Linked DNA regions of Drosophila melanogaster. The protein of the gene in region 2 purifies or fractionates together with the protein of the main gene of each other region. This does not show direct contact. Each region holds a gene or a part of one and is shown on either strand. Other genes may lie near its edges.

Region 1 (3,128 bases), on a different chromosome or scaffold from region 2:
GTGTATGCACCTAAGAAACTTGTTAAATCGAAAATTAATTAAAAACGTGTTGCTGAGAACGTGGTTTAATAAGACTCCCCTAGTGACATGCTGATCTAGTTTTCCGTATCCTCAGGTGGTGGGTGTGGCACCGCCTTATGGAGCCACTTGCGTAGGTATTCGCTGGTCTGCAGGCCAACCATTCGATTTACCACCTTGCCGTTGCTGATGACCACCAGTGAAGGAACGGACCCCACGTTGTAGTCAAGGGCCAGTTCCCCATGCTCATCAATATCGACCCGGGCCAATCTCACTCGACCTTCCTGCTCGGACACAACGTTCTCCAGTCGAGGGGCCAGAGCCTTGCATGGACAGCACCAGCTGATCAGGAAGGCGGAACAATGTCTTAACATGGTTCTATTTAACTGAAGGCTAAGCTCACCTGGCATGAAAGTCCACAACCACCGGCCGATCGCTATTGATCACACGTTGCTCAAAGTCTTTTCTAGTCTCCACATCGAAAATCGGTTGCTTGCCAGTACTGGTCATTCCGCGATTAGCCTTCATCAAATTCATTAGGCGCTTTGCCCGGAATAATCTTCTATAGCTGGACATAATAAAGCTTACGGATAACTTAAATTTTAGCCTAGATAAATATCAAGAAAATTTTGATCCGAAAATTTTTGGGACTACAGTGTGATGACGACTAGAGCCTTTTTACTACTGAAAATATTACGGTAAAATCACATTTGGCATAGAGTTCCATAAATTCAAAGGCTTCTTGATCCAGAAATAACATTTTATATTTAGTTAGTTTTCGGTTTTACACTTTATTATGTACATTGGTGAAGTTTCTCAAAAATTAACGTTTTAAAGTGTGATGTGCATAAGTTGAATGTTTATCCGAACACCAGGTACATAATAGCATGTTTAGAAGTCTAATGCTTGGTAATGGACTGATAGCATTTCAAGATTTCGTAGCCCAATTCACATTTTCCTGAAGCCTTGATGGAATGACACTTTTCTTCAGCCTTTTCCAATTCATCTGTGTCAGTAATGCCATACTTTTTTTCAAGTACTTTCCTCGGTTGCTCCGAACTGATCGCATCATTTGCAATAACACCTTTCACTTCCAGTAAGCAGTGATAAAAACACTTGCTTTGAAGAGAGTCTTCTTTAGCATCAAATTTTGTATTTTCTGTAATTGTATACCCCAGCTGCCGTTTCAAGCAGGCTTTTATTTTTTCAGAAGATTTCTAAAACTTGGACATTTCAAAGAATGGAATTTCAACATTATTGCGATTGCTTACCATACAAAATGCTTGGAGCCAGATAGCAGAGATGAAAATGAACAACAGGAATACTTTCATAATGATAGTTTTGTGTGCAAGAACATAAATTAGCTATCTTTCCTGGCTTTTATAGTTCGTACATTAGCCATGCCTATTTACACTTTATCCTCAACTCGAAACTCAAAAAATCATATTATCAACGCTTGGTTTCGGTTTCCAGGGACTGTTACCCACTTGTTATTTAACCTGTCACAAAACCATTTAATGTATTTTTAGCTCTTTGTACTTAATAGAAAGACCAGAAAGAAATTCACTTTCATTACTTTCCAGTACGGGCTGGCAATGTCAAGAAATAAATATGGTTGCAGTATAATAAATAGTCACTTACATTGGAATATGACAGAACGAAAATGCAGGCTAAAAACACTAGAGCAAGCGTTCCGTTCATTTTATGATTTTAAAATTCAATACTGAAGATGCGCTTTAAATAGATTTTGCTGACTGTCTATGTGCACGCCTATTAACAATTTCAAGCTTTTTCTTAAATTGATTGCACGCCTATTTGGGAAGCCTGATCTAATTTTTATTGAGAATAACTGGTAATCAAAGAAACAAATATTCTTTTGAAAATCAAAAAAGGTTTTCTTAGAATTGGGCGTGGTTTTCGTAGTAGCACTTGTACAGCAGATAGCTAGTGTCGCACTTGTCGGCTCCCTTGGTCGAGTCACACTTGGCCTGCACCTCCTTGACATTGGCTTCGCCGGCGATGGGACCTAGTTTGGCCAAAACCACGTCAGGTTTTATCTGCCCATTGGCCACCAGGCCGGTCTGCTCCAGGAAGCAGTTGGCGAAGCACTTTACCTTTGGATCGGAGTCTGCAAAGTTTCCAGACCGCAGGGCAATAGCTTGCTCCTTCGTGATTCCCTCCTGTTTGACGCAGGCCTTGGCTCTCTGCTTTGCCTCAGCCTTTTGGGAATCAGTTAGCCCCTGTTAAGAGGAACAAATCTTTATAGAACTTATGGAAATCAAGCAAAAGGACCTACCACGGCAGATGCCAAAGATAGAGCTGCAAGGGCGGCAAACACAAAGAATACTTTCATGATGCTGATCGTAATCTGCTGTGTAGAATCTTTTAGAATAGAAACTGTTGGCTAAATGTCTCGTCGAGTCAGCATTTATACAATTTGCGATGATGGACTTTGGACTTTGTTTAGTGATTCCCTTTCAATCTACTTGGCTGCACTGAGAAACAACCTAGCCATGCTGACTTGCGGGTTATTTCTTGTTGTCAGGTTCTTACATATCAATATATAATTTCAGATTTAATTTGGGAAAAATTAAGCTTCAGGTGGCTTTAAAGTATATTTTTAATTAGCGTAAGCTGTCCTAGTTAAAAGGAATAACTGGGATCTGCGAATTTTTTGGCCTCTGTTAAAAGTTCTTAGATATGCTTACATAACTCTGAAGTTCGAACTACAGCCCACAATCTGATTGTCAAATAAAATTTTCCATTAACATCGAATACTGACTTGCACTTTATTATCCATAGTTACAAAGTAAGTAGTTTGTGTAAAGTAGTGTGTGAAATGGCGTGTGGTTTAAATGTATAGTTTTTAGCTTTCAATCGGCCAAGATTAATTTTCTGAAGGCTGTGCAGTTTGTTAATAATTTTCGTTGTGCTTTAAACTTTCCTAAGTCAGCAGGGATTTTGCTACCCGAGCTTCTGGCTATGAACCACCACACATTTGGGTCACAGCAGATTCCAAAATACTGATAACATTCACTCGTTGGCCAGGCCATATTTACTTGGGCCAAATGAATGATGACCCGCCCAGCCTCAGTTTGTTGTCTAAACAT
Region 2 (3,858 bases):
TGATGGCCGAACGGTTTGGACCATTCCAGCAGGCAGCACCATTGGTGTACTTTTGTTGGGAATATTGCTTTGGCTCTCCACTCCATTTGTCCCAGCGACCCAGCGTGGTTTCAGGCCCACCGCTCCTCGACTTCTGGGAGGCCCGATCGAAGGGACAAAGGGTGTACACATACTCCCGATCTTCGAAATTGTAGCACTGGCCATCGTGCACGGCCCACTCCTCGGTCAGGCCGTAGCCCTTGTTGTTCTGGTCGTCGATCTCGTTAACCTCCTGCTGAATCTCGCGCAGGCTGCGCTCCACTTCCTCGAGAGCATTTCGCGCCTCATTGGCCTGCTGGATCAAACGCTGCGTCTCCGGATCGTAGTTAGGTGGCGTGGCTTCTTCCGCATCCGGAGAGGCTTCGCCAACGCCCACATCGGGTTCCTCATCATCGTACTGATCCTCCTCACCCTCTTCGTCGGCTTCAATATCATCATCGCCGGCGAGTTCAGCTTGTTCTGGAATAGGAAGAAAAAGAAATCAGAACTCAAAGAGTAAGAAATAGTATTCCTATTATCATTACCTTCGCTTAGCTTTGGTGGAGTGGGCTGGATCGACTCGGTGGTGACCTCTGGCTGCTGGGCAACTTCCTCCGGCTGCGGCGGCTGGAACAGACCCTCGGCCAGCATTTGCAGAGACTTAATACGCGGCCAGGCCAGCGTTACGAAAGCATCTAGATCCACTCGTTCGCGCTCGTCCAGGAAGTACTTGGCCTCCTCCACAGTTACCACGCCGTTGCGATCTCTGTCCAGATTCATGTCGACCATCAGTTCGGTAACTTCGACGAAGCCATCTTTGTTGGTGTCGTAGCGCACAAAGGTGAGCGTGGCCTCTTGGCGCATCTGTTGCGGCTCCCGCTCCGCCTGTGCGGTGTCAGCATCCACCTCGCGCTGTTGCTCCTTAAAGATTTCAATGGCTTCTGCCTCTAGAGCCTCAGCGGTTTGCTTGAGCTGCTCCTTTTCGGCGCGCAGCAGTTCCTGTTCCTTGCGTCGTTGATCTAGCTCAAGGCGGCGCGCCTCTCGCTCGGCCCTCATCTGCTTGCCACGGGTAATCATCTCCTGTCGCCGCTCAGCTCCACGTTTGTGCAGCTCCGCTGCATTCCGCCTTTGGACAGCCGCCGCTGCTCCGAGTTCCAAGCAGGTATTCGGGCAACCGACCGTCTCTGACTCGTCACTGCCATCGCAGCAGTCACAGATGCCGTCCTGCACCTGCGAACTGGGTATATTTACCGGCTGGTGGCCTTTGTTCACACAATGGAACTGGCCCTGCGGACAGGCCGCAGTGCCAGGTTCATCGCTTCCATCCGCACAGTCGCAGTAATCGTCGTTGATGTGGGAGAAGGGTATGGTGCGGCTGCCATCCAAGCAGGTCCAACTGTTTTCGCCCGCCCGAGGTTGGTACAGTGAAGCCTTGGCCAGCGGAACACCCAGCGGACGTGGAACTTCGCTGGCAGAGCCTACGTTGGTGGCCACCAGGGCCAGCAGGAGCGGTATTAGCAGCACTTGGCTAAGTTGCAAGCTTTGCATTTTGGCTGTGCTCAGTACTACTCCTAATTAATCTTCTAATTTGAGTTGCCTCCCGAGTGCTGTAAATCTTACGTGGAATTTGCTATGGTTTTTTACGAATCGTAAAATGCCGGTGCAGCACTATCGATGGCAATAGAGACAACTATCGATAGCAACGGGCAGTGGCGGGATTTGAAATGGCCGAAGGGATTTCGTTTGTATGACCGACACGGGGAAATTGGTTTGCTTATTTTAATTTGATTAAATTCCTTGAAAATTTCACGTATTATGTTATGATGCAGAATTACTTTCGCGCTGGTTTTTAGCACCTGACCACTGCACTGCTGACCAACTGTCTTTTCGGCAGTGTGGCAACGCTGCCAAATCAGCTGCCGGTTTGTTATTTAACAAAAGTGGAGGATCATAGAGCCCATAAAATAATGGAGTTCCTGACTAAAGTGTGGGCCAAAGAGGCAACAGCGCCCGAGGCAATAGAAGCCATCACCGGCGCAGCGCAAGAAAAACAAAATGCAAAGACTGAAAAAGCATCTGCCAGTAAGGAGACGAGCACCGAAGAAACCACCACTGCTCAAAAGGATTGGGGCTACGACCTTTATCCGGAGCGAAGGGGCGAAACCTTCAAGCCCAAATGGACACGAGTCCTGTTCGGCTTGGAGGGGCAGGAGAACATTGATCGTTTCAAGTGCGAGGAGAATGTGTACTGGTGTGTCAAAAATGGTCCGCTGGTCAAACTGATGATGGGAGCACTGAAAAGTTCCGGTTGTCCCATCGATCTGCGCCGACACATCTCATGCGAGGTGTGCGACCCCACAGTCACCGGCGGTTACGATCCCAAGCTCAACCAGATCGTGGTCTGCCAGAATATGGCCAGGAACAAGAGCATGGTCCATGGAGTGCTAACGCACGAGATGATTCACATGTTCGACTACTGCAATAACGACATGGACTTCCGCAACGTGGACCACCTGGCCTGCACAGAGATCAGGGCGGCAAACCTGGCGCATTGCTCCTTCTTGAGCGCCATGTTCCAAGGAGATGCCTCGCCATTTAATGTCAAGGAAGCGCATCAGGTGGCTTTCTTATATATTTTTATTAACCAAATGCTTAAGAAACTGAATCCAAATCTATTCTTCTTTTTTTCAGAACTGCGTCAAGTCCAAAGCCCTAGCTTCCGTGCTCGCTGTTCGCAATATTAGCAAAGCAGATGCCGTCGCTGCTGTGGAACGTGTCTTTCCCAAATGCTATGCAGACTTGGAGCCCATTGGCCGGAGAATCCGTCGCAATTCCACGGACCAGCAGAAGGCTTACATGGAGGCACCCATGTATGGCTATGATGTATATTAAATTGCTTTATATATGCCTTTTCTTTTTTAAGTACCCACCCCCACACAATGTTAAATAAAACTATGTTTTAAGCTCGGGACATTTTGAATGTCACACGGCCAGACGGTTTTATATTTAAACCTAATCGCTTGGTTATTTATTAAATTATGTACGATTAGCCATGAAATGTATCAAGTTCATGAGATAAATTCAATTAGTACTATATACCCAGCAGCTAAAACGTATATAAAACATGCTGTTAAGACTGATGCTTTTAGTTTAAGTTGCAAGAGCAGCAGGAGCAAAGGCATGGAGGATTGTGAAATAATTGGAATGATATTCGAAATCATTGGGGATATGCTGTTTGGCAGTAAGTGGGAGGACATGGGAGAAGTGGAGCTGGATAAGTAGTAAAAAAAAAGCGGACATTATAGTCAATTTATCAATAAATAAAGAGGAAATCACTTCATATTATTGCAGGTGATACCTCATCAGATGATGATTACGATGAGTCGAGCACCTAGATTATTATTATTTTAATAATCCGCGAACCTAATAGAAGTTATCAAATGGATTAATCCAAATAAACCATACAAAGTATAATTAACCTTTGAAATAATGCTATAAATACAAAACGAAAATTGTGAAACTACCAAAGTACAACCAACAATATGGACTGTTGTGAGCTGCCGGAAATATTTTTGAGCTTCCTCAACGACCTTTTCTTCTCAGACATAAGTAATGAATTTGTAATGCTATCAAAACAGGGCTTTTTAATCATATTACTATTTTATTTTCATTTTTTGTTTGTAAAGCTGATGCGGAGTACTTGGGCGATTATTACGACAACTACAATTGAAATAGACCAGCGATCGTGAGCAAATAAAAAATTTGATATGAGCATTTACCTTTAAAAGCTTTTCAATACACAAATGTGTACTCGTATATTTGTCCCATTTCTGACCCAGA

The links.
Region 1: the proteins of CG5131 (region 2) and Obp56f purify together in Drosophila melanogaster (affinity purification with mass spectrometry, with the first as the bait; one large-scale study listed by BioGRID). This does not show direct contact.

What each region holds. Positions count from the first base shown.
Region 1 is NT_033778.4:19,711,640-19,714,767, reverse strand, and holds Obp56f (Odorant-binding protein 56f), read right to left. Parts: upstream 1,374-3,128; 5' UTR 1,350-1,373; coding exon 1,290-1,349; intron 1,236-1,289; coding exon 918-1,235; 3' UTR 792-917; downstream 1-791. Other genes in the region: CG8517 (uncharacterized protein), read right to left, coding at 96-360, 422-594; Obp56e (Odorant-binding protein 56e), read right to left, coding at 1,917-2,258, 2,315-2,371.
Region 2 is NT_033779.5:17,482,593-17,486,450, forward strand, and holds CG5131 (uncharacterized protein), read left to right. Parts: upstream 1-1,908; 5' UTR 1,909-1,985; coding exon 1,986-2,636; intron 2,637-2,709; coding exon 2,710-2,910; 3' UTR 2,911-3,032; downstream 3,033-3,858. Other genes in the region: GCS2beta (glucosidase 2 beta subunit), read right to left, coding at 1-498, 564-1,566; CG43221 (uncharacterized protein), read left to right, coding at 3,199-3,259, 3,370-3,413; CG43645 (uncharacterized protein), read left to right, coding at 3,561-3,627, 3,705-3,748.